Linked DNA regions of Oryctolagus cuniculus. The protein of the gene in region 2 interacts with the protein of the main gene of each other region in a pairwise test. Links are inferred from orthologs where the notes say so. Each region holds a gene or a part of one and is shown on either strand. Other genes may lie near its edges. The genes, in order: HSD17B12, UBQLN1, retrotransposon Gag-like protein 8C, RASSF5, HK2, TMCO6 and TRIM23.

Region 1 (3,500 bases), about 110 Mb from region 2:
AACAAACCAAATGCAATCCACACATGCAACGGAATATTAATCAGCACTTTAAAAGGAAGGGAATTCTGACTTATCACCAGGGATGAACTTTGAAGACATTATACTAAGTGAAGACAGTTACAAAAGGTCAAATACTGTACAATTCCATTCATATGAGGAACTAAGAGTAGCCAAATTTATAGAGGTAGAAACTACCCAGTCCTGAGGGGAGGGGCAAATGAAGAGGTAGTGTTTAATGCATAGAGTTTCTAATCTGGAAAATGGAACATGTTCTACAGATGGATGACATTAATGACTACACAACAGTGTGAATGTGCTTCATGCCAGTGCACTGCACAATTAAAAATGATGAAAATGCTATATGTATTTCTCCACAATTTTTAAAAAGAAGAGACTATGAATAGTCTAATTATCTCAACATAAAGTAGTAAGAACTTATAATAATTAGGATTCAACTGCTTACACTCCATTTAGTTCTACTTTAGGGATCCCTGCTTAAAAAAATTCTAGGGGGCAGTTTTTAAAAATCCAGACTTATATATGTAAATGAAATAGAAACTGGGGCCCATGCTGTCGTACAGCAAGTTAAGCCACTGCCTATAGTGCTGGCAAACCATATGGGAGCCAGTTCAAATACTTGCTGCTCCACTTCCGATTCAGCTCCCTGCTGACAGCCTGGGAAAAGCAGCAGAAGATGGCCCAAGTCTGTGGGCTCCTGCCACCCATATGGGAGACCTGGAAGAAGCTCCTGGCTCTTGGCTTCGGCCTGGCCCAGCCGTTGTAGCCATTTGGGGAGTGAACCATAGGATGGAAGATCTCTCCCTCTGTCTTTCCTTCGCTCTCTGTAACTGTGACTTTCAAATAAATAAATCTTGAGAGAGAGAGAGAGAGAGAGAGAGAGAGAGAGAGAGAGAAACCATGTCTAACAGTATGCTAACGTCACATCCACTAACTCAGGAGTGTGATTTTCTTTTGTTGCCAAGACAGCAACAGTTGCTGTGGAAACCACACAAAAACAGGGATACTTAACAGAAGCAAACTGCACTCACCTGCACAAAGATGCCCTTGCTCCTGTATTCCTCATGGAGGCACTGAGAGAAGAAATCTACAAAAGCCTGGGAGGCAGTGGGAGGGAGAAGAAAACACACAGATTACATCAATGTGCCTGACTTGTAGCCATAGAAACAAAAAATAACAAACTAACCAGTTAACACTATCATTTCTAATCATTCTTTTTCATTTCAAAAGCAGACTACACCTTAAAAAAACACCAACAGCTCAAGTTGTTTTTGCTTGCCACTAAATGAAGTATTATCTTACCAAATACTACGCAGAACAAATTTTAATTGGAAAAAGCTCTTCTTATCCTTATTTTCCCCCAGAAAATTATTTTCCAAGAAAAATATTTTTATATTATAAATCAAAGCATGCATTTCTTCTTTCTACTTGCCACTCAAATGGAAACAAAATATGAATTCTGTCTAACTCAGTTCTGTGGGGACTTTGCTGTTGCTACAAAGAAAAGAGCAAGCATCCTCTTGCAGCTCTAGGATGGAAAGAGCCAACAAGAGCAGAGCTGAATGTGACAGCACCTCTTCTGATCATGGTACAACCTGAAATCCATTTGTAAAAAGCCATTTTTTGGGGGAAAATATGGACTTAATCTTGAGCTTGAAATGCAAAGTATCAATAATGACTCTGGAGGCCAGTGCTGTGGCCTAATGGGTAAAGCCGTCACCTGCAGTGCTGGCATCCCAAATGGGAGCTGGTTCAAGTCCCAGCTGCTTTACTTCTGAACCAGCTCTCTGCTAAGGCCTGGGAAAGAAGAAGAAGATGGCCAAAGTCCTTTGGCCCTTGCACCAGCAAGGGAGACCCAGAAGCTCCAGGCTCCTGGCTTCAGATCCGCCCAACTCTGGCCATTGTGGCAATCTAGGGAGTGAATCAGTACATGGAAGACCTCTCTCTCTTTCCCTCTGCCTCTCTGTAACTCTGCCTTACAAATAAATAGCCAGCGCCGTGGCTCACTAGGCTAATCCTCCGCCTAGTGGCGCCGGCACACCGGGTTCTAGTCCCGGTCGGGGCGCCGGATTCTGTCCCGGTTGCCCCTCTTCCAGGCCAGCTCTCTGCTGTGGCCAGGGAGTGCAGTGGAGGATGGCCCAAGTGCTTGGGCCCTGCACCCCATGGGAGACCAGGAGAAGTACCTGGTTCCTGCCATCAGATCAGCGCGGTACGCCGGCCGTGGCAGCCATTGGAGGGTGAACCAACAGCAAAGGAAGACCTTTCTCTCTGTCTCTCTCTCTCACTGTCCACTCTGCCTGTCAAAAATAAATAAATAAATAAATAAATAAATAAATAAATAAATAAATCTTTTAAAAAAAGACTCTGCAAGAGTCCCAATTAGTAGTAATTCTCTGTTCGTGGAGACAGGAAAGAAATTGGGGTCACCAATCCCTTCAGGAAACCTGGCATTACGCTCCAGGGTTACTGAAATCAAGTTAATGGCAGGGATTCCAGGGTGGTGCCAAGCTTTCCCAAAAGACAGCCATGATGATATGAATTTTATCAAGTGAAAAAGAAGGCCAATGTTTTGTTCCTGTCTTTTGATGACATATTACAAGTTCTTACTGTATAATATATTAAGCTCACTTTTCCTGAAAAGCTTGTTCAATGTTAAGGTCTGAGCAGTCATTTTCCCTTTAGAGATGGAGTCCTTGCCTCAACAATGTATCTGAAGATGAGGCTATTGACCTGCAGGCAGCAGGAAATGCACTCGAAATTATTTTCCTAGAAGTAATGTGAAGAGGTGAACGGTAATGCTGTGTGAAATTATGGCTCTTACAGAGAACTCTGGAAAATTCTCACATCCCAGAAGTAACAAGGAGTTACCAGTAAATTCTGGATAATGGGACAAAACAGTCATTCTCTCACTCAACGCTATCCTGTGCCTAGTATGTACATGTATGTGTTGACTTCTTCCAAATTGTGTGCAGTTGACTCATTCATCTACCAAATTCAGAATCTTCTACTCATTAACATCATGTTCTAATCACTGGTCTAGGCCAGCTCTCCATGAAAGGACAAGTGTCACCTTTAAAATCAGTAAACTACCGGAAGGAACAAAGGCCTGTGTGGATCTCATACCCGGGTGTCACACTAGCTCTGGCTCTCCTGAACCTTGCATTGGGTAGTTTCCGTTTTGTTGCATTCCATTGGAAAACTGCCAAGATTTGACCTTCAGGAAACTTTAATCTCTCAGCTTAGAAAGTATTGCTCACTCTTACACCCACTCCTCCCCTAAAACGCTGTTCACCTTGGTTGCAGAGTAGATGGTCAGCAGTGGAACTGGGAACGTGCCACTGGCAGAGGAGATGTTCAGAATTGCACCTTTAGATCTAAAAAGGAAAATGTACCAAGTCATCACAGTGTAATCATATACACAACGGTCTGAGAACTGCAGACTGAGATATATAATTATTTGAAGCAGAGTAACACAGATTTTT
Region 2 (3,500 bases):
CTGGAGCTTCATCTGGGGCTCCCACATGGGTGCAGGGGCCCAAGCACCTGGGCCATCTCCCGCTCTTTCCCAGACCATTAGCAGGGCGCTGGATGGGAAGTGGAGCAGCTGGGCCCTGAAGTGGTGCCCATTGGGATGCTGGTGTCACAGGCAGTGGCTCACCTCACTATGCCACAATGCTGGCCCCCAATGTATTTTTTAAAAGATTTATTTGAAAGGCAGAGTTAGAGAGAGAGATGGAGAGATGGAAGAGATCTCCCATCTGTTGGTTTATTCCCCAAATGGCCTAAACTTCATCCTGGGCTCCAACATGGGAGGCAGGGGCCCACGTATTCGGGTCACCTTTTGCTGCTTTCCCATATTAGCATATTGGATTTGAAGTAGAAAGTAGAGGGGCAGGCACTGTGGCGTAGCAGGTAAAGCCACGGCCTACAGTGCTAGCATCCCATTTGTGTCAGTTTGAGACCCAGCTGCTTCTTTTCCGATCCTGCTCTCTGCTGTGGCCTGGGAAAGCAGTGGAAGATGGCCCCCAAGTCCTTGGGTCTCCGCACCCGCATGGGAGACCCAGAAGAAGCTCCTGGCTCCTGGCTTTGGATTGCCACAGCTCCAACCACTGCGGCCAATTGGGGAGTGAACCAATGATGGAAGACCTTTCTTTTTCCGTCTCTCCTTCTCTCTGTGTAACTCTTTCAAATAAATAAATATTAAAAAAAAAAAAAGATAAAAGAAAGAAATAGAACAGCAGGGACTTGAACAGGCACTCAAATGGGATGCCAGTCTTTCACGCAGACACTAGCCCCTAGTCTCAGTATCTTTTAAATCTGTGCCTCTCATTAGTCTCTATACACTTAAGGACTGTGCTTTCCCCCTTTTTTCTCTTTCTGGAAATTTATGAAATGAAAGAATACTATCCATAAACAGAAAAGAGTTATTACCTGAGGATTTACTCCAGCAAGAGCCTGCAGCATCTGTTGAATAAACTGTTGGTGGCCAGGTTCGGTGGTCCCTGTTGTGGGGCTTGTGTTCTCACTGGCTGTAGTGTTAGATCCATTGGTTCCTGAAGAGCCTCCAGTGTTTCCCAAGGCCCCCAGGCCAGGAGTAAACCTAGAGGAAGAACAAACAGGTCATAAACTAGAGGACAGGAGTCAATCAGTTACGTTTTAACATACTATTAACTGAATTATCTTCTTAATAAACACTTGTAATTCTGAAAACTCTGATTTGGGAACTTGCACTGTGGCGCAGTGTGTTAAGCTGCCACCATATGAGTGCTGGTTCAAGTCCCAGCTGCCCCACTTCCAATACAGCTGCCTGCTAATGGCCTGGGAAAAGCAGAAGATGGCCCAAGTGCTTGGAATCCTGCCACTCATGTGGGAGACTGGGAAGAATCTCCTGGCTCCTGGCTACAGCCTGGCCCTGCCCTGGCTATTGCAGCTATTTGGGGAATGAATCAGCAGAATCTCTCTCTCTTTGGCTCTGCCTTTCAAATAAATACATCTTAAAAAAAAAAAAAAAAAAACTAAAAATAATCACAACCAAAAAAGGCAGAATGATATTAACCCTGAAATTCTCAGAGAAAGTTAACCATTATACACTTTCATAATCTTCCTCAAATAAACTTACCCCGGAATGAGGCCAGGGGCTTCTGTTGCTAATGTCTGTAAACCCTGCTGAATCTGTAACAAGGCCTGCATTGCTCTAGGGTTTGACATTGCTGACAGTGTATCAGGATTCTGCATCTAAAGGAAAAAGAAAATCGAGGGTTACAAGGGAATTAAAATCAGTGAAGGTAAATTCTTATATCTTTACTTGTGTTTTCAGAGAAAATCTAAAACCTCACTCCTGGACACTGGTTATCCATTAGTTTCTTTCCCAAAATAACAAGCATTTCCTCTTTTACAGCAAATCACTACCTGACCTCCCCAAGTCCATCAGCAAAGCCATTCCCATAATGGTGGACACTCTGGAAGCCGCCACTCCTCGCATGCTCCAACAGGAGATTACAAATATTATTTCCAAGAGACACCTCCAACTACACAAGTTATACACATGGTAGTACTGTGAAAGCCACACATTCCTCCTGAGCAAGTGTTACCTGTAACAAGTTTACAACTAATGTACACTCTGAAACAATAGTTCCAAATCTGAAGTTAATACAGATGTCCTGAGTTTAGCCTCACTGCTTCCAAATATACACCACCTGACTGACCAAAAAAGGAAGACTTACACCATTTCCATAGATCAAGGACACTAACTAACCTTGGACAATGGTTCACAGGCCTGGGAATTATCTGCATAATCTATAAAGCCCTAGAGCTACCAGTTTCAAAATACCAAGATCGATGCCTCTTTTATCTTTTTTAAATAATAAAATATCATGGCAATCTCAAGTACTTTTTTAAAAAATAGAATCTTCCTTATTTGACGACACTAACACTTTTACTAACTCCAAATCTGAGGAACTGAGATCTACCCCTTGGAAGGCAGGCATTCTACTAGTTTGAGAAAAATTAAAACATTACAAAGAAACCAAACCTTGCAAAGTAAGACTGGGTAGCTCTTTCCTGTTACTTGAGATTAGTTAAACCATAAAGCGTAACATGAAGGAAGCACGTCAATGTTAGTAAAGAGAAAGGAAATGGTATGGTATTAACAAAGCATTCAAAATCCCAAGTCCTCAAAAGAAAAAATAAAATGGTTCTTCCCTCAGAATTTATGTTTAAGAAAGAGGAGTCAAAGATCAGCAGTGAAATGGGGTTCAGTTAGATCAAGCTGAGTTCTCTACAAACTGACAGGATATCCTATTCCAGTCTCTGTTCTGCCATCAGCCAGAGAAGATCGAGGAAAGTGGTCAGCATCAAAGTTTCAAGCAAATCATTACTGAAGACAGCTGGCATCTTTTCTTACTCACTTGTTGAAGGAAAGTTGGGAGCTGTTGTCTCATTTGTTCTTGAAGCTGAGGATTTCCAGCAAATAGGGGATTATTCAGCATCATCTATGGGGCAAGTGTTCAAACAATTTTAACTGGAAATATCGGAAACAAGTAATGTACCTTGTTTAATATTCTATCTTCCCACAAGTGCCCAAGCTGGCACTTAAAAGGGAGGAAGGTAGAAACTAAATTAAAAAGGAAAAGGGAAAATATTATCCACAAGAGAGATCTCCAGGAAAAAACAAAACCACGACATCTTCTCTCAATGAGAATGGCGATTATGATAATGACATGCAATACCCTACAAATAAAAGTAATCGTATTTTAGACTTTTCCTTGAGCAAAGGTGAATTTTTGCCCTTGAAAGAAAATTGGGAGTGACTGGCTTCACGAGGAAACATGTTCTGCTACACTGACAGGATAAACATAAACATCAATACAGGAAACTTGCTCAGAAACCTCCACACGTAAGAGGCCAGTACAGAGAAAAATTCAGATCTGGAACCACTATATCTATCTGCCTCCTACAAAACAGCTATATTTGGTCCAGAAAAATAATACCACAAAA
Region 3 (3,161 bases), on a different chromosome or scaffold from region 2:
TCTAACAGGTTTAGAGAGTTCAGCAGCTGGGATTGAATGGTCACCAGTGAGGTCTCCATTCCCAGGACAACCAGAGGACTCGATGTAAAGGCCATATGAACCATCGAATGTCAGCGCATATGGATTTGTTTTAAGACTTCTTTATTATTTTATTTATTTGAAGGGAAGAGTGATAGAAAAGCAGACAGAGGGAAAGAGAGAACTTTCATCTGCTGGTCCACTTCTCAAATGGCTGGGCCAGGAGAAAGCCAAGAGCCAGGAACTCTACCCAGTCTCCCACACAGGTGGCGAGGCCCAAGCACTTGGGCCATTTTTTCTTGCGTTCCCAAGCACATGAACAGGAAGCTGGATGGCAAGAGAAGGTGGGGTTCCAACCAGAACCCCAGTATGGGATGGCAGAATTACAACTATGCCATGCAGTCTCAAATGTGGTTTTGAAGAAAATATGGACCGATTTGGCAAGATCACACAAGGAAAGGTGGCACACTCAGTGAACGCAGTTTCTTATTGGACAGGGTCTGACATTTATTGAAAGAATGGAAAGACTTCTGTACAGGTAGTGTAAAAGAGCCGCGAAGACCACAGGGTCATAGTGTGGGACACAAGGCACACATCAGAGAGACAGCTGCACGTTCGGAAGAACCGGGACTCGGGGGGGCGGGGAGAACTACTGTCATGTCCACGGGAGGACATGACAGGCGCGATTCGGCGCCCAGACCCTCAAGGTGTCTCTGGGAGGAGGGGGCGCGGCCTCACTCATGGTGGGAGGCCGGCTGGCCCCGCCGGGCAGCCGGCTGTCGGAGTCGGGGTCCGAGGGCCGCGGCCAGCCCAGACCCCTCGGAGGGGAGTCCAGGTGGCTCAGAAGAGCAGTCTGTCGGCGGGAGGCCGGGGGCGGCGGCGGCGGCGGCGGCGGCAGCGCAGGTGCGTGGGCAGAGCGATGCGGGCTGGCGGGGGGCGGCCGGCGGTGCGTGGTTGGTCGTCGGCCGCGCGGCGGGGGCCCAGCCTGCAGCCCGAGGGCCGGACGGCGGCCCCCGGTGCAGGGCACAGGCCGGGCCGGCGGCAGCGGGCAGGGCGGCGGCGCTGTCCAGAGCCAGGCCCAGAGGCAGCAGCGCCAGCCTGGAGCGCTATTCCTGGAACAAAGGCAAGCACGACGCGGGCGGGCGGGCGGGGGCGAGGGGACGCCGCGGCGACTCGGGGAGCAGGGGGGCGGCGGGACTCGACTCGGGCGCGAGCGCGGCGGGGGCCGCCCGCGGCGACCCTGGCGGCGGCCGGCGGGCAGCCCACCCTCCCCAGGGCAGCCGGCCCCGGGCCCGAGGCTCCGGCGGCCTAGAAGTCCTCGTCCTCCTCCCAGCCAAAGACGCGCTTCATCTCGGCCAGAAAGCCCCGGTAATCACTGAGGAGGGGACTGTCCTTCTTGATGTAGGGGATCACCCACTGCAGGGCGGGCCCCGTGAGGCGGGTGATGAGGAACGTCACCTTGAGCGCGTCGCTGGAGAACGTCTTCTCGTCCACGAACATGTAGGAGCCCGTCTGCACGATGAACTCCGGCAGCCGGTCGGTGTCGCCGTCAAACGTCTCGGGAAAGGGGATCGGGTTCCTCCAGCGACGTGTCGCCGGCCGGATCGGCAGGGCCAGCAGGGCCTTTATCAGCTGCACCCGACCGTCCATTTCGCCTTGCTTGCTCTGCTGGGCTTTGCTGGCTCTGCAGGGCTGTGCAGAGGTCAGCAAGCAAGGAGGCGTCCCCGGAAGTGCGTTTCCACGGAGGCGGGTCTAGGCCCAGGGTGGGCAGGGCCAGGGCGGGGCTTATTCACTTCAGTAGCTTTTGCTTGCAAATCTGAATGGTCACTAGTCCGCAGATGCGTCTCGCGCTAGGGCAGGGAAAGTGGGAACGGGGGTGGGTGGGTGTTGAGGGGGCGGGCCAAATACCCTGAAGGAGGCGGGGTCGTAATTGAAGGATGGGCCTGAGTTTTCCCAGGGGGACTGCAGAGGCGGAGCGGGGATGGGGGATGAGCCCAGGAGATTTGGGATTGAGTGTTGAAGGCGAGTTCGCTAATCTGCGACAGCAGATTTCAAGTTCTGAAAGTTGATGAGTCCTCTTGCTGCCCTCCTCCACGTCCCCCCCCTCATCTTTTTCTTGGGTATTTCTAGGCAGACCCTTGGCTCCGGATGCCTAGAATGCAGTTCTGGGATACTGCTTCTTCATGTATCTTTCAGCCAGAGAAGAAATGGCTCCCTGGCAGCAGATATGGTGGTTTTGCAGTATCAACAGGAGGGCCCCCAATGTGAGCAAATATCGTCCAGGACAGAATATTAAAATAATAAAGCACCATGAGCAATTAATATAAGGCAGGTTAAATGTTAAGAAATCTCAATTTATTATAAATGCTAACCATAATTGTTACCTATTTTGCTGATCCATAGGCAATTCACGACATTGCTGCTAGCTCTAAGGCTTGCAGGAGAGATACAGTGATTCTGCTTGCAAAATGCAGTCATGTATAATGTAACATAATCATTACAATAACAGATCACCACCTTTTTCATATTGTATTGTTTAGAAGCCAATTGCATTCCCCATTAACCACTTAGGCATTAAGAGGGCAACATCCGAGGAACATCTGAGCAACCCCTGAGAGAGCTGGCCAGCGGTGTGCTGCTCCTCCGCGGAAGTGGGGAAAGCGGCGGGGGTGCCGCCCCTCTGCGGAGGCGGGGGGGGGGGGGGGGGGACGGCAGCTAACCTGGAAGGGCAGCAAACCCGGGAAGGGCCGAGCAGACAAAAGAACAGCGCAGGGTCTGGTGTCGTTCCTCCGCGAATTAGGGAGCGACATAATGGGATGGAGGCCACTTGGAGTCCGTTTGCTACAGTATGGCCATGCCACAGTTGGTAATTTAGCCGCCTTTTGAAGGGCATTCTGCATGTTTCCATGTTTTGGCAATTACAAATGAATCAGCTATAAACAATCATGTAAAAATATTTGCATGAGCATATTTTCACTTCTCTAGGGTAAATACCTACAAGAAGGATTTCTGTGTCACATGATTCAAAAAAGAACTGTCATTCAACCAGGAGTAGAAGGGAACTCCTAAATCTGATTAAAGGCATCTATAAAAATAATCCCGTACAGCTAACATCACAGTTAAACTGGGGAAACTAGAATATT
Region 4 (4,118 bases), on a different chromosome or scaffold from region 2:
GGAGGCCATAGCTGAGAGCGGGATTGGAAGTGGAGCAGCTGGGACTCAAACCGGCACCCATATGGATGCTGCAGACCAGGGCTTTAACCCGCTGCCCCCACAGCTGGGATTCTAACTGGCGCTGCAGATAACCCGCTGTGTGACAACGCTGTGTCCTGGTGACCTGTTCTAAACCAACCAACCAATCCGAACCCGTGCTTTAGCAGGAAGCGGCTAGTATGCAGGAGCATCTACCTGTCTCCCCAGCTTCAGCCCAATCTACGGTCAGAACAAACAGGGCTGGAGGGCTCTCAGGACATGGGTGGTCCCTGACAGGATCCTGGGAGGCATTAAAGATCCAGGAGTCCAGGCTGTGCCCGTCTGCACTCCCAGGAGAAGGGGCTGTCTCCATGGGCAAGGGTGCTGCACCCTTGCAGGAAGAAAGTGCCCCGTCCTTTGTTCAAACTTTCAATCTCTCAAGCTGGAGAGAGCAGGGCATCAGCCCAGGCAGCAGGCCCTCTGGACTGGATCGATCTCTCTCTCTCTCTCTCTCTCCTTCACCCGGCGAGCCGTCGGTGCCAGGTACAAATCGGGGCGCTTCCGGCCGAGATTCCCACAGCGCTCACTCGAGCCCTCGAGGAGAGAGAAGGGCCCCCCCACAAAGAAAAGTTCCCCCACCCCTGGGCACCCCAGCGTTCTCCCAATCCAGGGCCTTCCGGGAAAAGGAGTGTCCAGCAGGGCAGGGCATCTGAGGACGGGGAAACCCGACCAGAGGGGAAGTCGCCCTGCCCGCCGCCTTCCAGCCGGCGGCTGAGCGCGCGTCCCCCCGCGTCACGGGACTCCGCGCGGCTGCGGGGCGCGAGCGGGTATCCCCGAGGGGCATCCCCCAGGGGGCGGCGACTAGGGTGGGAGGGTAGAGGAGCGCGGCCCTTCCCGTGGGGCGCGGACGCCGGGAACGAGGCGGGCTGGCCCTCGGGCGGCGCAGCCCTCCTTGGACCCCATCCCCAGCCGGTGCCCGAGCCGTGCGCCCCTGAGCCCAGTGGGTGCTAGTGGTGTCGGGAGTGGGTCTGGTGCGGGAGAAGCGACTGGATAGAGTGGGAGCCAGGGCCTCAGGTAGAGGCGCCTCCAAAAACGCGCCTTCTGGGTTGCTCGTTACAGAGCTCTCATGCGCGGACCCTCGGCAACCGCCGGCAGCCCCCCACACTCGCCCAGCCGCCAGCCCTGCCCTCCGTCCGGCAGCCGTCCCCTCGGGTCGCCCTTCCTGCCTCTCTGAAATCGCCCCGCCCCTGCTCCGCCCCCGCGGGCTGCGGTCCCTTTAAAGGCGCGTTCGTCTGGGGCCGCCTCTTCTCTCAGGGCTGGCTTGGGAGTAGCGCAGCCGCCGCCACTAGCCCGGCATGGCCATGGCGTCCTCGGCCATCGGGCAGCGCCCCTACCCGCTGCTCTTGGACCCCGAACCGCCGCGCTATCTGCAGAGCCTGAGTGGCCACGAGCCTTCGCCGCCGCCCCCCGGCCGTTCCTCGCGCCGCTGCGTCCCGGCGCCCCTCTCCACTGCGCCCGTGGCGCACGAGGGGCGCGGCGGCCGCAGGGCTGCGCGGGGGGACCCAGAGCCCCAGTCCCGGGCCTCGCGCCCCGCTCGCCCTCTCCGGCCTGGTTTGCAGCAGAGGCTGCGGCGGCGCCCTGGAGCGCCCCGGCCCCGCGACGTGCGGAGCATCTTCGAGCAGCCGCAGGATCCCCGCGTCCCTGCGGAGCGAGGCGAGGGCCACCGCTTCGCGGAATCGGCGCTGCGAGGCGGCCCCGGCTGGTGTGACCTATGCGGACGCGAGGTGCTGCGGCAGGCGCTGCGTTGCGCTAGTAAGTGCAAGGCAGGGCCGGGGAGGGGCGCGGGAAGACCGCAGTCCTGGGGCGGGGGACTGCAAGGGGGACAGGGGCATTGCCCTCTCTGTCCGCGGGGAAGACCCGACTTTCAGGTAATTCCCGGAAACGCGCACTCCTTAATTCCCTGACTGGGAATGGTTAACGCGGCATTTAACAAACACCTCTCCGCTAACAGGTGCGTGCCTGCGCGCCGACCCCCATGCACAGACGCGCGCGCACACGCAGGTGCGTGCATTTTCCCCCAACCCCGTGGGCGCGCACCACACAGGTGCGAACATCCACCGCCCCCGCCCCGCCCACGCCCCAGGTGCCTGCATCCGCCCCCCTGCCGCCGCGCGCGCGCTTGCTTACACAGCCGCAGGTTGGTTGATGGCCGCAGCCACAAGGTCATTCTGTTCCCTTCTCGCGTTGGTCCCAAGTTCTGGAGAGTTGTTTGTGAGGCTGGTCCTGAGATGCCCATTTGACCCTGGCTTATTGGAGTTGATGGCAAAATGACTTGTTTGACCTGGTTAGGCTCGGGATGCCAGGTGCAGAGCCTGAGGTCACCCTGGACCTGTGCCCCTCCAACCTTTGCACTCTCCGGCAATGTTTGCGCTCCCCTCCTCCCACCCCCTCTTCATGCTCTAAAATTCCCCCACTGGGCACCTCTGGTTGCTGCCTGAGCCAGGCTATCCTCCAAGTTCGCAGAAGTCCAGCAGGTAGATTATCTGAGCACACCCCACCCCACCCCCCCGCCCCGCCTCGGCTAGGTGTGTGTATTCCTTTAACATGGCCCTCTCGTCCACCCCCACCTGCTGCGTTTGCTGTTGCCGCAACCGCAACTGTGGTGGCTGTGTGGTTGTGTGTTGATGGGGAGGTTTTGCCTATCTGCAGCATTAAGCTCAGGCAAGGACACAGCCCCTAACAGGCACCTCTGGCAATGGATTGCCAAGGCCTCCGGTCCCCCAGGCCGAAGCTCCTTCCCGGTCGGGAAAGCCCTGTCTGGCCACCCCTTGCAGTCCACAGCTGAGGCTGTTTGATGTGCTCCGCGCTGCAGCTGCCTGCCGGGATGGCCGAATCAGACTCAAAGCCAGCATCAAGTGGAAGGGAAAATTGGAGGGGGAAAAGGCTGCTGCTCTTTCTCCCACCAGGCTCCCCGTCCAGGTGCTTATTAAAGAGGAAGAGCAGAAGTTAGACAGCCGTCCGTGTGTTGTGGGTGGAAGGGCTGCTGTCCTGTCGCAAATGCCTTTGACCTTACAGCAGAATCAGATGCAACCTGGCCTTGGACATGTGGGCAGCCTTTGCCTTCTCAAGGGTCCTCTACCCACTGGCCCTGTACGCAGGGACAGAGGCTGTGACCTCACTGTCACGGCATTTTGTACTGGGATCCCGGAAGTCTGCCTCACTGGCATCCAGTTTGAGATTTTCCGGAACTGTATTAGTTGTGGAGCATTTTCCATGTATTTTTTTTTTCTTTGAAAGACTTAGGGAGAAACAGGGAGAGAGCTTCCATCTGCTGGTTCACTCCCCAGGTGGCTGCAACAGCCAGCACTGAGCCAGGCCAAAGCCAGGAGTCAGGAGCTTCAGCTGCGCCTCCCATGTGGGTGGCAGGGGGGCTCAAACACTTGGGCCATCCTTCACTGCTTTCCCCGGCCATTAGCAGGGAGCTGGATCAGAAGTGGAGCAGCTGGGATTGGAACAGGCATGGGATGCTGGTGTCACAGGCGGCAGCTTTATCTGCTACCCCACAATGGCAGCACCTGGCACATAGTTTGTGATTTTATGTTTGGTGATAGTGGGTGTGTGTGTGTGTACCAATGTGTTATATGCCATGATGAAAGGAAATTCTTCAATTAGAAGCACCCAGATCTGTGGCCCAACCTCTTTGTGTGTGGCTTGGTAAAGTCTCTTCCCTTGCTGGTCCCCATGGTCCCCCATGTATGAACACCAGGGAGGAAGCAGCCGTGGGATCCAGAGAGGAGTCTCTGTCATCAGTAATCTCACTAATCGTGCACCTGGGAGTGGATGGGACTGGATGAGGGCTGGCAGGCGGAGCCGGCAGGGCGAGTCCACTGAATGTCTTCTTTAAGGTTGATTCCATGGTGGCATCCGTGTGTTTTCATTTGGAAAAGCCAGGATCAGGAGGAAGACGTTCACAAGGCTGAATTGCGCAGTGATTGCGAGTACACACGGGAACCTGAGCCCTGTGTTTGAATCTTGCCGCTGCGTCTCCGTGTGGCCCCTGGCACTCCCACATTCTGCTCCCTTGTTTAAAGAGATGGGGA
Region 5 (4,126 bases), on a different chromosome or scaffold from region 2:
GAAGACACTCTGTGTTTGCTCTTGAGTTCCGAAGCATAAACTGGCAAAAGACAGCAAACCACCTTGACTCTCATCCATGAAACACTGGGAGAAAAGTGTTCCCGATGGGGCTAGTTCTGGGCAGGTGGCCCCAAGCACTTCCGTGCCCTCAGACTGCACAATATGCAAGACGATGTCGTCCCAAGGAGATTTCAGAAGAGTTCACGTCAAGGCCTTCCCAAAGACGAAAAGTAAACTCGACCCTCAATCTCCTCTCCCAATGCCTCCGTCCAGCGGCAGCCCACAAGGATGTTTCCCACATACTCTGTCTTCCCACTTCCTATCTGATTGCAGATAGAATCAAACAGCTCTGCTCACCTGAACCGGTGCCTGCATCCCAGCGCGGGCCACCTGGTGAGTAAAAGGCCCGCCTCAATTCTGCCCCCAGTGGTAACTTAGAGAAAATACACCCTCCCCGCGCGTAAAGGCTGCAAGGTGACGGTAAGTGGCGCGATCAGAAGCCTACAGGAAAGGCATTTTCAGGCGGCTGTGGGTAACGATCACAACCCCACAAAGGGGACAAGACTGCTAGCACCTGCGTTTTACGAAAAGAAATGAGTAGCCCAAGGAGGTCGGGGTCGGCTGGTTAATAAATCACAAGTCAGGGATCGGAACCCATTCCCAGATACCTCGGCTAATTCTGGGACCACGGAGAAGACCCCATTCCAGGACACCCGCGAGGCGGTCTCAACCCACAATTCTAGCAAAGAGTAGGCTTGTAAAAGAACTCAAACGCTCTGGAGCGTCAGTCACACCCGCCCGAGAAGCCCACCCTGGGATTAGCGACCCTCCACTTTGTACTTTAGGACCTGCCAAGAGTCGACAGACTTCCCCTAAGAATTAACTTGGGGAGCGAAGCCCAGGGGGGGCGCCAGCGTCCTGCCATCCCCCAGACTCGCTTCCAGACACACTGAACGAACGCGCGGAGCCACATCCCGGGAGCGAGCTCGAGGGTAACAGCCGTTCACGGACGGGGAAAAGCTCCGCTGTACCCGCCGCCCCCTGCTCCTCCTCCAGTCCGCGACTTGCGCGCCAGGGCTCCGGCATCAGCAGAGTGGGGAGACCAGCAGGTCGTCCTGCACAACCAGAGTGTCTAGACATCTGCATTCCGGTACTGAAATTTCAAGTGTGCAATGGAGCAACGCACGGTCCATTGCCTCACCGCTCTGAAACACACGTCCTCCGCAGCCCATCCCCTCCCTCAAATCCTAGCCAAGCCTCAGGCCAGGAGCCAATCCCTTAATCTGCAATGCAGAGCCTCGATTCACCCCAGAGGGAAAGCGCCCCGGGCACGGCCCCGCACCCCTGGGAGAGGCTCCCCGCCGGGCCCCAGGTTCCTTTCTTATGTAAATGGCCCGGCGCGGGAGAGGGATCGGCTTCGGGAGCTGCTACGAGCGAGGTGGGCACGGCAGGCCCTGGCCCAGGGCAGGAGAAAGCTCGCTTTCGGAAGGGCCGAAATCTTAAGGACTCTGGGAAGGGGGGAGAGTAAGGTTGGTCCCCTCCGAGGAACTTTTTTAAGGGCAAACCCGAAAGTAACATCCAGACCCCGCCCCCACTCGGAGGCGGGCCCGGGGGACACGAGGCCGAGCTGGGGGCGGGCGATGCGAGCCCCTGGCCGAGCCTCAGTTCCGGCCGCCTCAGTTCCGGGGAGGGGGCGCGGCGGGCGGAGTTCCTCCGCTCGCTTTCCTGCTCCTTCCCGGGCAGGTTCCCCGAAGTCCACCTCCGCAGGGCCCCGGGACAACTGGGGACGGGGGCCGCGCGCCTCCTTCCCGCGTATGGAGCCCCACGCGGCCACGGAGCCTCCTCCCCCGGGCACGATTGTTCACCACGTGTTCTCGCCGGAACTCGGCCGCAGAAGGGGGGTCCTACCACGTGGGCGCAGTAGTCCCTGACTACGTGCCGGGTGACCCGCCGCTCTAGAAACAAAAAAAAAAAAAAAAAAAAAAAAGAGGTAGGGGCGGCCGCGCGAGCGCGCGCAGGATGGCCGCGAGCCCCCGTGCCTCGCACGCGCGCGCTCGCCTGCCAGCGCCCGGCGGACGTGGCTGCTCCAGCCCAGGAGTTTCATCAGCAGCCCGGACTTTTTCTGCGAACCTGGCTCTGAATGGAGAGGAAGCGGATCCCGTCAGGGCCAAGGAGGAGGTCCCGGAGACCGCGCAACTTTGTCAGAAGCGAACCGGCCGCTTCGCTCTGCTGACTTACCTTCTGCACCTGATCATGGTTGAGCTCCGTGAAGAAGTAGGCGAGCAGATGCGAGGCAATCATCCTGCCGCGGCCAGACGGCGCCGACTTGGGAAACCGGGGCGCGAGCGCTTGCGGGGGAGGCTGGCGGGCGGTCCGACCGCTTTGTACCTAGGCTCGGCGGCCCGACGGAACGCAGGGAGTCCACTAAGAACGCTAACGGCGATGGCGCGCCTGGCTGGGGGGCCCCGGCTCTCTGGAAACAGGGTTTTCTGGAGTTAAAACTGGTAAAGGCGGCTAAGTCTCACTCCCAGGCAACGTGTCCGGCTGCCCTACGTCAAGGCGCTAACTTCAGCCACAGGGCCCTAGGGCTCAACATGGAAAGAATCGCAGCCCGGCTCCACTGGGACGATCAGACCTCTTAGACAAACACGCGCGATGCTCCCGCCCGCAGATCTTTCTAGCTGAGTGACACGGCGTTGCCCGCGGCGGCCCGGGACTCCTGCTGGAGTTTCGTGCAACAATGTGGCTTATTGAAGGGGGCTGCCGGCTCGCGGGCCGCCCGGCCAGTGACGCGCACGCGTCTATTGGCTGCGCGGAGAGGGTGTGTGCGCCCGCAGGCCGCCCGCCGCCCCGGCACAGCCAATCAGCACGCACGGCCCGCGGGCGCGGCCGCTCAGACACCCGAGCCGGCCTTCTGGGGAGGCGCGCCCGGGGCGCGGGGCGGGGCGGGGCTGGGCGCCCGAGATGGGACGTGTGTTCCGTGGCAGGAGGCTGGGACCGAAAGGCGCATGAGCCACCGCCGCGTCAGGCGCGCCTCTGGGTGGGGGGGCGCGTGATCGCGGACCCGCGATGTGAGACGACTGGAAAGACAGGTCACCGGGCCAGCACACGCCCTTGTACAGAGAGAGGGCGGTCTTCTGGATTCTCGGGACCCTGTGAGAGGCCCCTACCGCGCGCTCACATGTCTGGAGCATCCAGGTTCTCATCCATCGTGGCTCAACCTGCCAAGTGAGCCCTAGTAGCTGGTGCTTATGCTATGCTTGGCATTACCAAAGTCGGCCCACCGCCTGTGCCTTTGGAGACCCCGAGTGGGTGTGGGTGTGGGTGTGTAGAGGGACATGGAGGCTGGCAGGAATGAAACACTGACGGCAGCAGACGTGAGCTTGGGGTGAGAGGATGACAACGCTGGGTCGCGGCGGGCCCCCGCAACGGAGAGAAAATCAGCTGCCTGCCGTACAGAAGAGAGTCCCTCTCCCACAGTGCGGTGCTCTCTGCGGCGTGTACAGATCTTGTCAGACAAGTAGTAAGTGTTCATTGCCTGTCTGTCTTCCCCTCTCAGGGATGCTGGGAACAGTTGGTCACCCGCATCTGGATCCACGGTCCTCACCCAGGCAGAGTCCGGGACGCTCCGCCGTGCTGGTTTCTGGCTAGGCTCCTTAGCCCCTGTTTCTCAGTGGGTAAACGCTGGAGGGTTCCAGGGCTGCCTAATCTAGTTACACTGTCTCCCTGCACCATCCCTCCCGGCCCCATGACTGTTATATCATCTACATGCCGCTGATGACTCACAAGAGTAAATCGACAGCGAGGACCTCTCCTAGAGGTCTGGAGACTTCCTTCTCCAGCTGCCATTTGTCATCACCACCTAAGCGGTGAGCACCTGACGCGTAACATGCCCAAAGTCCCACTGAACTTTCTCTCCACATCTTTTCCTTTCCTGGTTGTCCCAGCAAACGGCAACACCATGCACCCTAAGTCATACTGGGTTCCTATGGCTCCACCCTCACAGCCAGTCAGTCCCTCAGCAAGCAGTCGATTCAACCTGTAAAACAGAGCATGTGTGCGACTTCTCTCCTACCCAAGCCGCCGGTGACTCAGCCAGAGCCAGTGCCTTGTCCTGACTTTGTGC
Region 6 (4,114 bases), on a different chromosome or scaffold from region 2:
GGAAAGAGCTACACGGAACTCTTAAATTCCATTTCCCCTTTAATGGAGGAGGAGCTGCACATCTGGTTCTAAGCCAAACAAGCAGGCCTCAGAACACACTGCCCCCTGGGTGTCCTGTTGGGCATGTCCTGGTATCCTGAGCTATGCCCTGAGGCCAGCCCAGGTTACTGTGGCACCCTGGAGGACCAAGATATGACCATGGCCCGGAAGTCAACAGGCAGATGTGGAATTCCAGCTCTGCCTCTGACATTGCGAGGCTTGGGCAAGTTTCTGGGCTTCCTCCGTGTAAAATGGAGATATTAGTAGCACTTGTCTGTGAGTAAAGCTGCATCTGTTAAGGGGAGCCTTGAGTGTTCTTCTCAGAGCCTCCACATTCAGTGGACTGAGGTCACCGCGGCTCCTCGCCAAAGCGTATCACTCTGGGGGAGGCACTCTGGGCTGGCAGGTCCAAGCCGCTAGGGGAGATGCTGCTTCTGCAAAGATCCCGGATTCACACCTCAATTCAACAAATATATATGAAGGGTCAGGGTTGGGGTGAAGCCCTGGGAAGCAAACGTGACTAAGCCGCAGCTCCTGACGTGCTCCAGGCCGTGGAGGCAAACATGGATCCAGAAATGCAGTCCGCAGACAATAGGACTTTTGCAGAGAGAAACTCACACGGCTTCTGGACAGAGGCAGCCAGCACTGCAGAAGACAGTACATGCCTGGGACTGGCTTTCGCAGGGTTGACAGTATTGCCAGGCAGAAAGAACCTAGCCTTCTCGGTGACAGGCCGCTTGCGGAGCTTTCCCTTTCCCAGAACTTTGTAGGGGAGCGACCGCACCACATCAGCGGCTGATGCAACTCCAGCCTCGGTACCGTGTCTGCTCGCTGACCCTCGTCCACAACTTAGCAAGCTGCACATAAATAATGATGCTTTTCTCATTTTTCTCACTCGCAAAATGGGGGTAGACATTCAAGGACGCAGCGCGCGTCAGCTGCTAACGCCGGGCGCCGGCGGGGAGCCGCGTTATTCGCGAAATGGCATCGCGGCTCGTCCCGAAGCGCGTGTTGGGGGTGGGGAGGTTGTGTTTGCTGAGTGGACGGCGACAATGCCTGCCTGCGGCGGCCGGGTTCGCGGATGAGTTACTTTCATTCCCAGAACCGGTAAGGAGAGAAATCCGAAGCGTAGGGCTGGAAATTGAGACTCCTGCTCCCATGCGGGCTCCCGCAGGATCTCTCAGACTCCGGCCCTAGCCCCGCCCCCAACGTAGCCCCGCCCCCGTCGCGATCCGCCCCGCCCCCTCGTGCTCGCCCCGCCTCTCCGCTCGACTCTGCGGCTGCGCAGTTGCTGCTATTTCCTAAGCCGCCAGGCGGAGTCCCAGCCTTGGCGTTCCCTGCAAATATCTCGCAGCTTCGCCATGTGGAGGCGGCGGCAGGGCCGTCTCAGGCCGGTGGTCTGCGGGGTGGAGGAATTACGTTGCCGCCGGCGGGAGCGGGAGGCAGGTGCGGGCGGGCGAAGGAGCACAGGGGATGTGGCGGTCGGATAGGGTGAGGGGACTCCCGGCTCAGAGCAGCGGGCTCTGGGGCCTGGGCGTCCCTCCCACGCGCAGCCCGTTCTTTTGCCGCCAGAGCTGCGGAAGGCGCGGAGGGAGCAGCAGCTGATCAGCAAGAGGCTGCTGAGAGACGACGTCCCAGAGGAAGCCGGAGAGGGCTGTGCGGCCGCCGTCCTCGGGGAAGCCGAGGTGAGGCTGCGGGGCGGGCGCGCGGTGCAGTCCACGCCCCCTGACGCCAGACTCCTGCCGGTGCCTGAGGTCTGCCCCAGTCCAGAACGCGAGCCGCCTGACGCCTGCATCCGTCCAGTGGGTTAGGACCGAGCCTGTGACTTATCCTACCGCCTTGTCCCTCAGGCTCAGATCAATTCAGGTCCTAGCCATTAGAAGTCTGAAGTCTGGAGGTGGCCTCGCGGTCACAGCTGCCACCGCTCTTTGTGGATACCACAGCAGCCTCCTAAAAGGTCACCTCACATGGATGGCTGCCGCCCCCCATACGTCTTTTAAAAACAAATAGAGACCAAATTCCTGGGTGTGCCCCGCAAAGCCCAGCTTGTTCTAACCTCTGCCACACTCATCCCAGCCCCTTTCAGTAAACCGACCGCTTTCCTGCCTCAGGGCCTTTGCACTTGCCACATCTAAACTCCTTATTTGTCATCGTTGAAAACCCAGGTACCTGCACAGTATCTGGAATACGGCAGATAGTTAGTGCTTACTGACTGAGTAAACGAAAGGGTCTGTTCATTCAGTGAGCACTGGGCATGCCTTGTGTGTGTTGCCTGCATTTGCATGTGTAGTTTACAAACCAGCAGCACCACACGTTGGGATCGGCTGAGGCGTAGGTTTTGCCAGGTTGAGAGGTACAAATGTTTTCTTTGAAGTAACCCACTAAGAATGCAGGGTAGGTGTTGTTATTCCTGCTTTTCAGGTGAGAAAACTGAGGTGCAGGTCCCTGGTGGAGTAAATGGCAGGGCTGGTGTTGGATCCCAGTTCTGATCCTCTCCCTGACTGCTCGCTCCGTGAATTGGCACCTAGCAGCTGTGTTAGTGTCAAGGACAGCTTCCGGGATGGTGTGACACTGGAGGACGTGCAGGTGAAGCGGGCAGAGAGCGACCCAGGACTTGAATTCTCTCCCTGCCCTGCTCTCCAGGTGCAGCAGTTCCTGTGGCTAGCCCAGCGGGGGACAGAGGAGAAGGAGAGAGAGAAGGCTCTGGTCAGCCTCCGTCGAGGCTTGCAGCACCTTGAGACACAGCAAATCTTTATTCGGTCCGTGTGGGTGGTGTGAGTGGATGGCTGGGGCTCTGAGGGGACAGGAAAGGTGGCAGGGATGGACCCCAGGCTGAGCAGGGCTCTGGTGCTCACCCACACAGGCTGGAGGGCAGCATGCGGACCCTAGTCGGGCTGCTGACCGGCAGCCGGGCCCTGTTGCAGCTTGAGGCGGCTCGGTGCCTGCATGAGCTCTCTCACTCGGAGCAGTCCGCGGTGGCCGAGGCCTGCCTGCCGGCCACTTCCTACCTCCTCACCTACCTCTCCGGTCACAGCTCAGACTTCATAGTAAGCCCTGTCCCCTCCTACTTTGTTCTTGGCTTAGATTTAAACATTTTAGGCTTTTGGATCCAGTTTGAGTTGGCATGTGGCGGGGGCTGGGGTGCAGAAGAAAACCTGTTCCTCCCGATTCCCATAGCTGGGCATCCAGCTACTGTCTCCTCACCTTCTCGTAAGCCTCAAAGAGAGGGCTGCTGCACCCTCTGTCCCTCCTCTCAGGAGCTGTGTCTGTATACGCTGGGTAACCTGATCGTGGAAAGTGAGGCTGTGAGAAGGCAACTCCTGCCACAGGGCATCGTTCCGGCCTTGGCCACCTGCATCCAGGTGAGTGCCTTTCTCCCTTGACGACTTTTACTCCTCTCCTCTCCACTTCCCGCTTGCTGTGGTTAGGTAGTTGCAGCCTCTGCCTTTGCCCTGGGGCTGAGAGTTTCGGGAGACCTTATGATCCAGCTTCCAGAGTCAGATCCCTACTCTGTCTGCTTCCAGTCCCCACATGTGGCTGTGCTGGAAGCCCTTGGATACGCCTTGTCGCAGCTTCTGCAGGCTAAGGAAGCTCCAGAGAGGATCATTCCGTAAGTAAAGTTATGTCTCCAGATGTGTAGCCCAGAGTGGCCCACCCAGTAGCCCCTGGATGTCTGATGAAGTCTGACTCCCAGAGTTGCTGCCTGTTTCAGGTCCTTGTGTCTGGCTAGCAAGGGCTTTGGGTATGGGAACTTTCCCACTTGCTGTTAGGGTTTGGCATCTTTGTGGGTCCTGCTCATAGCTCTGCTTCTGCTGGCAGCTCTATCCTGGGTTCCACTCTCCCCCAGCACATGCTGCAGTTGTTGCAACCTGGTCCAAAGCTGAACCTTGGGGTCGCTGTGGAGTTTTCCTGGTGCCTTCACTACCTCATATGCAGGTAACACAGGGCAACTGGGAGAATGCTCGAGACCTTTCCCAGGGCTCCCTTCTGTGACACCTTGGTCTTTGAACTTCAGTTTCAGATATTGCTGTAGTCTGTTTTCATATCCATGTGCTGCTCTCTTTTGCCCACAAGA
Region 7 (4,295 bases), on a different chromosome or scaffold from region 2:
CATCGTTTTAAAAAGGAAGACAAAAGCTCCACTTCATCAAATTTAATACAGAAAAGATATTCACAATAGAATTAGGCAGTATAAAATAAATCTAAGATTTTAATAAATGCTCTCATTATTGAATACTGCATGTTAAATTTATTTCTGACAATAACCTCAAAAGAATAAAATTAAAACTTTGCTTGGGGTCGGCACTGTGGCGCAGCAGGTTAAAGCCCTGGCCCGCAGCATCAGCATCCATATGGGTGCCAGGTTGAGTCCCAGGTGCTCCACTTCTGATCCAGCTCTCTGCTGTGGCCTGGGAAAGCAGTAGAAGATGGCCCAAGTCCTTGGGGCACTGCACCCATGTGGGAGACTTGGAAGAGGCTCCTGGCTCCTGGCTTCAGATCAGCTTAGCTCTGGCCATTGTGGTCATCTGGGGAGTGAACCAGCAGATGGAAGACCTCTCTCTCTCTCTCTGGCTCTACCTCTCTCTGTAACTCTGTCTTTCAAATAAAGTAAATCTTTAAAAAAAAAAAAAAAAACTTTCTTAGTTCATTCACACTTATACTTCTGACCCATCACTAAACAAGGTAACTTGCTCATGTTGTTACTATAGGTTTTTTTTTTTTTTTCAAAAACCATTAGCATAATTCCATTTAGTAAGCCAACCACAGGTCCAAAAATTATTCAGGTATCAACTTAGTAGATAGTCTTTCCTCAGTATCTATGAACAGTTATTGAAGAGAACAGTGTAAGAAATTAAATCCTAGATGGGGGGTGGTAAATTTCATACTTCACAAGAAAATTTCAACTTATTACATGTAAATCGAATTTGAACAAACCAGATCATACTTTAAAAGGACTATAAGAAAGCTTAGGAAACAAAAGAAACTTTGCAATTAATTTTAAAATGTAAATAATTTTGCAATATCAGATTTTGTTTTTCCTAACAATAAAAACCCTGCCATTATCAACTTGGTCACTAAACAAGACAGCATTTTACAAAGCATTAGCATTATAAATGTCAACTTTCACTTTCTGATGAATTTCTTCTTTCATCAAAAAGGACTATCTTATTGCACAGTTCAGAATATTTTACATGTTAAAATAAAAATGAACATGCTAAAAATGCTTCTAATATATCAAATTCTGTAACAAATTCTGCATCACATTTTGGTACTTTTTTTCAGATTATAAAGCAAACAAGGTAACAGAAATGTAAACGATACTCCAATTATGGAATTAAACTTCAAGTCAATTCACAAATAATCTTCAGGTATTCTCTATTTATCAAAAGCACAATTCAATAAATAAAATCTCACCCATACAACATGCCTAATAATGAGGGCTCCTCTGTATCTCAGATATGCTGCTCTATATATTCAGAATAACTTAATTACTACATAAAGGTCAGCTGAATCAACAAGCAATAATAATGACTAAGTTGTGGGCAGAAATGTGTCACTTGCTGTTATATAAAACCAACATTAGGTGAGAAAACATAAGTGCCTACTAATAAGCAAAAGGTCAAAAGAACTTCAGATATTATCTAGTTCAACAATTCTCAGCCCTGGTTGTACATCAAAGTCACTCTGGGACTGAAATATGTGTAGAAACGCCAACCTAATAACCGCAGAAGTGCGCCATTCCTCCACAAAAGGCCTCGGTGACCCTGACATGCAGTCAGGAACGAGAATTACTAATTGCTTATAGTATTACCAATTGCTTATAGTATTACCAATTGCTTATAACATTGACAATCCCGAAGGTTGGCATGAACCATTCAGATCAGTTCTCTCTGTCAAATCCTCCGATATTTTCAGAGCACAGGGAAAATGAGTGCCATGTGTTTCAACTGACTTTTCGGTAAGTGCATTTTTGGAGCATTATACATGGTAGCATCCCAACCTTCCAGCATAGGGCCATTCAGGCACCCCAGAGTTAAGATTCAACTGTACTGCCATTGGAGACTTCTCAACCATGTCGACAGGCTGTACGGCTAAGCGGGAAAGGCGCAGCTCACCAGTAACAGACGTCTAATCACAGAAGCTGCGCCGTAGTGGACGCCGCAGGCGTTAAAGTCGCACACCATGTTAACCGAAACCTGGGTTTCCTTCCTGCAAAACGAGAGCTAGCATCCACCTCATGAGTAGATGCCAACCAGCTAAAACCCCTAACACAGTACCTGGAGGCTATAATGGCTCAATTCTACAAAACCAAGCGAGTTAACGCCTCCTAGGCTCAACTAAGATAGAGGGGCTACAGAAAGAGCGGTCCGGGCCACTCCCACAGGCCCACAGCTCCCTCTCACAAACGTCCCCGCTGTGCATGCTGGCATCTGCAGGATTAGACCCGGCAACTTCGGGCCCGGGGATCCAGGTCGCGGACGGAGGGACGCCAAGACCTGCCTGCCAGGCACACAGGGACGCCGCGGCCGCGCCTGGGCCCCAGGGATGCCGCCCAAGTCTCCCGGATGAGCCGGAGGACGGCCGAAGCGGGGAGCGCAGTCCGCAGAGTCCCTCACCTTCACCACGGCCGTCCCCCGGCTGCCTTGCCGGCCACTGTCCGGCCCAGCTCCAGGCTTGTTTACCACCAGAGCAGCCATCCCGGGCAGAGCAGCGGCGCAGGAGCAGCCCTCGGAGCCTTCACCTGGGAGGCGGGGTCGAGCCACCTACCCAGAGGCCTCCGCGCACGCCGCTGGCGCACAGGCCCAGTACGACGCGGCCCCGCCTCCCGTCAGCGGCTCCGCCTCCCGTCAGCCTCGGCTGGGTTGGAGGCACAGTCCTGCTCGTGTTGTTTTTGTTCCTAAGAAGCCTGCAACTGCTGAAAGAAAAAAGTCAAAGGAAAAAAATGGATAACACATAATTAAAGTTTAAAGGTGAAATTCCCGGCCCGGTTATGAGTTCGGCTCTCTAATGGCAAACTAGCCAAGGCGGATACTACATCTCCCTTCATGCAACGCGACTTTTGCTTGCACTACAAATCCCGGCATGCCACGTTCTCGCCCTTTTTTTAATCTCTAAGAGGCCGCGTATCGTTACAGTGGTTGCTTCCAGTCGCAATGTGTGATCGTAGACGGAAAACGCCGTATTTTCTGTGCAGATCTCCAAGAGCCAAAGGATGGCTTTGGTGAAAAGAAGCCGTTGGGTCCGTAAAGGACGCAGTGAAAGGAGAATTTAAGGTACAAAGAAGCTGTTGGGAGGACGTTTGACGCCTGTTCTGCCCGACGTACGCTTTTTTTCCCTTCCGGGCCAAGTTGAACCTCTTCAGCCCCCGTAGGCCTGGAGTCAGACGTGCCGGTCAAAATGGAAGTGAATCCCCCCAAACAGGAGCACCTGCTGGCGCTGAAAGGTAAATGTGTGCCGAGGTACCGTTGTTCTGTCTTATTCCCTTCTCTCGCAGTTTCCCGAAGGCCGTTGCCACACAGACGCGACCTCTGTGACAGGGGCCAGGCCTCAAAACACTCGGTGCCCGCCGCCCCGCGCTGCGTCCGGCGCGAGCAGGAGGAGGCGACTTGGCCTCTTCGCGTTTCGCTTTCAGAGCTGCTTTCTGGAACGAAACAGACACCTGGTCGTTCTCCCTGACCTGTGCTGCTGCAGTCACCAGATGTTTGGATGCAGAGCCGAGGCCGCGCCCCTACTGGGGAGACCTCTGCGAACCGGGGTGCATTAAAGCAAACATCCGAAATGGCTTTTCCTTCCGTCTCTCGTCTCTTAGTGGGCACTGGGAAGTTACCAGGTTTCAGGTTTATCTGGGGTGTTAGCACTGCGTAGCAACTGTGCGAAGGATTTAGCAATACATAGCCCTGCCACGCGTAACGTAGATTTGTTAAAATGTACGGCTGACCGTCACCGCATTGGGTTCCTAATCTTAACCGCAGATCGCAAATATTTGAGTCAGATTATGTCTGTGCTGAAGGTGTGCAAGCTTTTCCTCCTATCAGTATTTTCTGAACCGGTATAACCACAGTGTACTGCAAAGTACCTGCCGCCCACGTGGGAGACGCGGCGAAGTCCGGCGTCCTGGCCTCAGCTCTGGTCCAGCCCTACCTGTTAGGGACATTTGGGGAATAAAGTAGCAGATGGAGGCGCTCTTCCTCTGTCCCTCTCGTATTGTAAGTTATCCAGACGTGATTTAAAGTGTAGGGGAATGTGTTCTTATGTTGTATGCAAATACGACACCATTTTACATAAGGGACCTGAGCGTGCTGGGATTGTGGTGTCCCAGGGTGAGCCGGAGGCGCTTCTTAGGGAATACCAAGGGGTCACTGTTGGGTACTGGTATGTTGGAGACTTGCCCAAAACTTCACGGCA

The links.
Region 1: the proteins of UBQLN1 (region 2) and HSD17B12 interact in binary tests that used the Homo sapiens proteins (3 or more experiments, as listed by UniProt). The link is inferred for Oryctolagus cuniculus from reciprocal best matches to the Homo sapiens genes UBQLN1 and HSD17B12.
Region 3: the proteins of UBQLN1 (region 2) and retrotransposon Gag-like protein 8C interact in binary tests that used the Homo sapiens proteins (3 or more experiments, as listed by UniProt). The link is inferred for Oryctolagus cuniculus from reciprocal best matches to the Homo sapiens genes UBQLN1 and RTL8C.
Region 4: the proteins of UBQLN1 (region 2) and RASSF5 interact in a two-hybrid assay, tested with the Homo sapiens proteins (3 studies listed by BioGRID and IntAct). The link is inferred for Oryctolagus cuniculus from reciprocal best matches to the Homo sapiens genes UBQLN1 and RASSF5.
Region 5: the proteins of UBQLN1 (region 2) and HK2 interact in binary tests that used the Homo sapiens proteins (3 or more experiments, as listed by UniProt). The two-hybrid records come from large-scale screens. The link is inferred for Oryctolagus cuniculus from reciprocal best matches to the Homo sapiens genes UBQLN1 and HK2.
Region 6: the proteins of UBQLN1 (region 2) and TMCO6 interact in binary tests that used the Homo sapiens proteins (3 or more experiments, as listed by UniProt). The two-hybrid records come from large-scale screens. The link is inferred for Oryctolagus cuniculus from reciprocal best matches to the Homo sapiens genes UBQLN1 and TMCO6.
Region 7: the proteins of UBQLN1 (region 2) and TRIM23 interact in binary tests that used the Homo sapiens proteins (3 or more experiments, as listed by UniProt). The link is inferred for Oryctolagus cuniculus from reciprocal best matches to the Homo sapiens genes UBQLN1 and TRIM23.

What each region holds. Positions count from the first base shown.
Region 1 is NC_091432.1:21,810,879-21,814,378, forward strand, and holds part of HSD17B12 (very-long-chain 3-oxoacyl-CoA reductase), read right to left. Parts: intron 3,393-3,500; coding exon 3,311-3,392; intron 1,116-3,310; coding exon 1,050-1,115; intron 1-1,049. UniProt on the Homo sapiens protein: Catalyzes the second of the four reactions of the long-chain fatty acids elongation cycle. This endoplasmic reticulum-bound enzymatic process, allows the addition of two carbons to the chain of long- and very long-chain fatty acids/VLCFAs per cycle.
Region 2 is NC_091432.1:134,606,580-134,610,079, forward strand, and holds part of UBQLN1 (ubiquilin-1), read right to left. Parts: intron 2,996-3,500; coding exon 2,912-2,995; intron 1,740-2,911; coding exon 1,624-1,739; intron 1,105-1,623; coding exon 936-1,104; intron 1-935. UniProt on the Homo sapiens protein: Plays an important role in the regulation of different protein degradation mechanisms and pathways including ubiquitin-proteasome system (UPS), autophagy and endoplasmic reticulum-associated protein degradation (ERAD) pathway.
Region 3 is NC_091453.1:112,807,297-112,810,457, forward strand, and holds retrotransposon Gag-like protein 8C, read right to left. Parts: upstream 1,756-3,161; 5' UTR 1,669-1,755; coding exon 1,327-1,668; 3' UTR 501-1,326; downstream 1-500.
Region 4 is NC_091444.1:21,700,463-21,704,580, forward strand, and holds the start of RASSF5 (ras association domain-containing protein 5), read left to right. Parts: upstream 1-1,318; 5' UTR 1,319-1,373; coding exon 1,374-1,830; intron 1,831-4,118. UniProt on the Homo sapiens protein: Potential tumor suppressor. Seems to be involved in lymphocyte adhesion by linking RAP1A activation upon T-cell receptor or chemokine stimulation to integrin activation.
Region 5 is NC_091433.1:128,134,813-128,138,938, forward strand, and holds the start of HK2 (hexokinase-2), read right to left. Parts: upstream 2,801-4,126; 5' UTR 2,302-2,800; coding exon 2,239-2,301; intron 1-2,238. UniProt on the Homo sapiens protein: Catalyzes the phosphorylation of hexose, such as D-glucose and D-fructose, to hexose 6-phosphate (D-glucose 6-phosphate and D-fructose 6-phosphate, respectively).
Region 6 is NC_091437.1:28,268,506-28,272,619, forward strand, and holds the start of TMCO6 (transmembrane and coiled-coil domain-containing protein 6), read left to right. Parts: upstream 1-1,314; 5' UTR 1,315-1,400; coding exon 1,401-1,485; intron 1,486-1,611; coding exon 1,612-1,724; intron 1,725-2,682; coding exon 2,683-2,798; intron 2,799-2,902; coding exon 2,903-3,086; intron 3,087-3,296; coding exon 3,297-3,401; intron 3,402-3,563; coding exon 3,564-3,649; intron 3,650-3,858; coding exon 3,859-3,975; intron 3,976-4,114.
Region 7 is NC_091445.1:86,572,744-86,577,038, forward strand, and holds the start of TRIM23 (E3 ubiquitin-protein ligase TRIM23), read right to left. Parts: upstream 2,801-4,295; 5' UTR 2,588-2,800; coding exon 2,507-2,587; exon of another isoform or gene 2,075-2,506; coding exon of another isoform or gene 2,006-2,074; intron 1-2,005. Other genes in the region: TRAPPC13 (trafficking protein particle complex subunit 13), read left to right, coding at 3,288-3,333.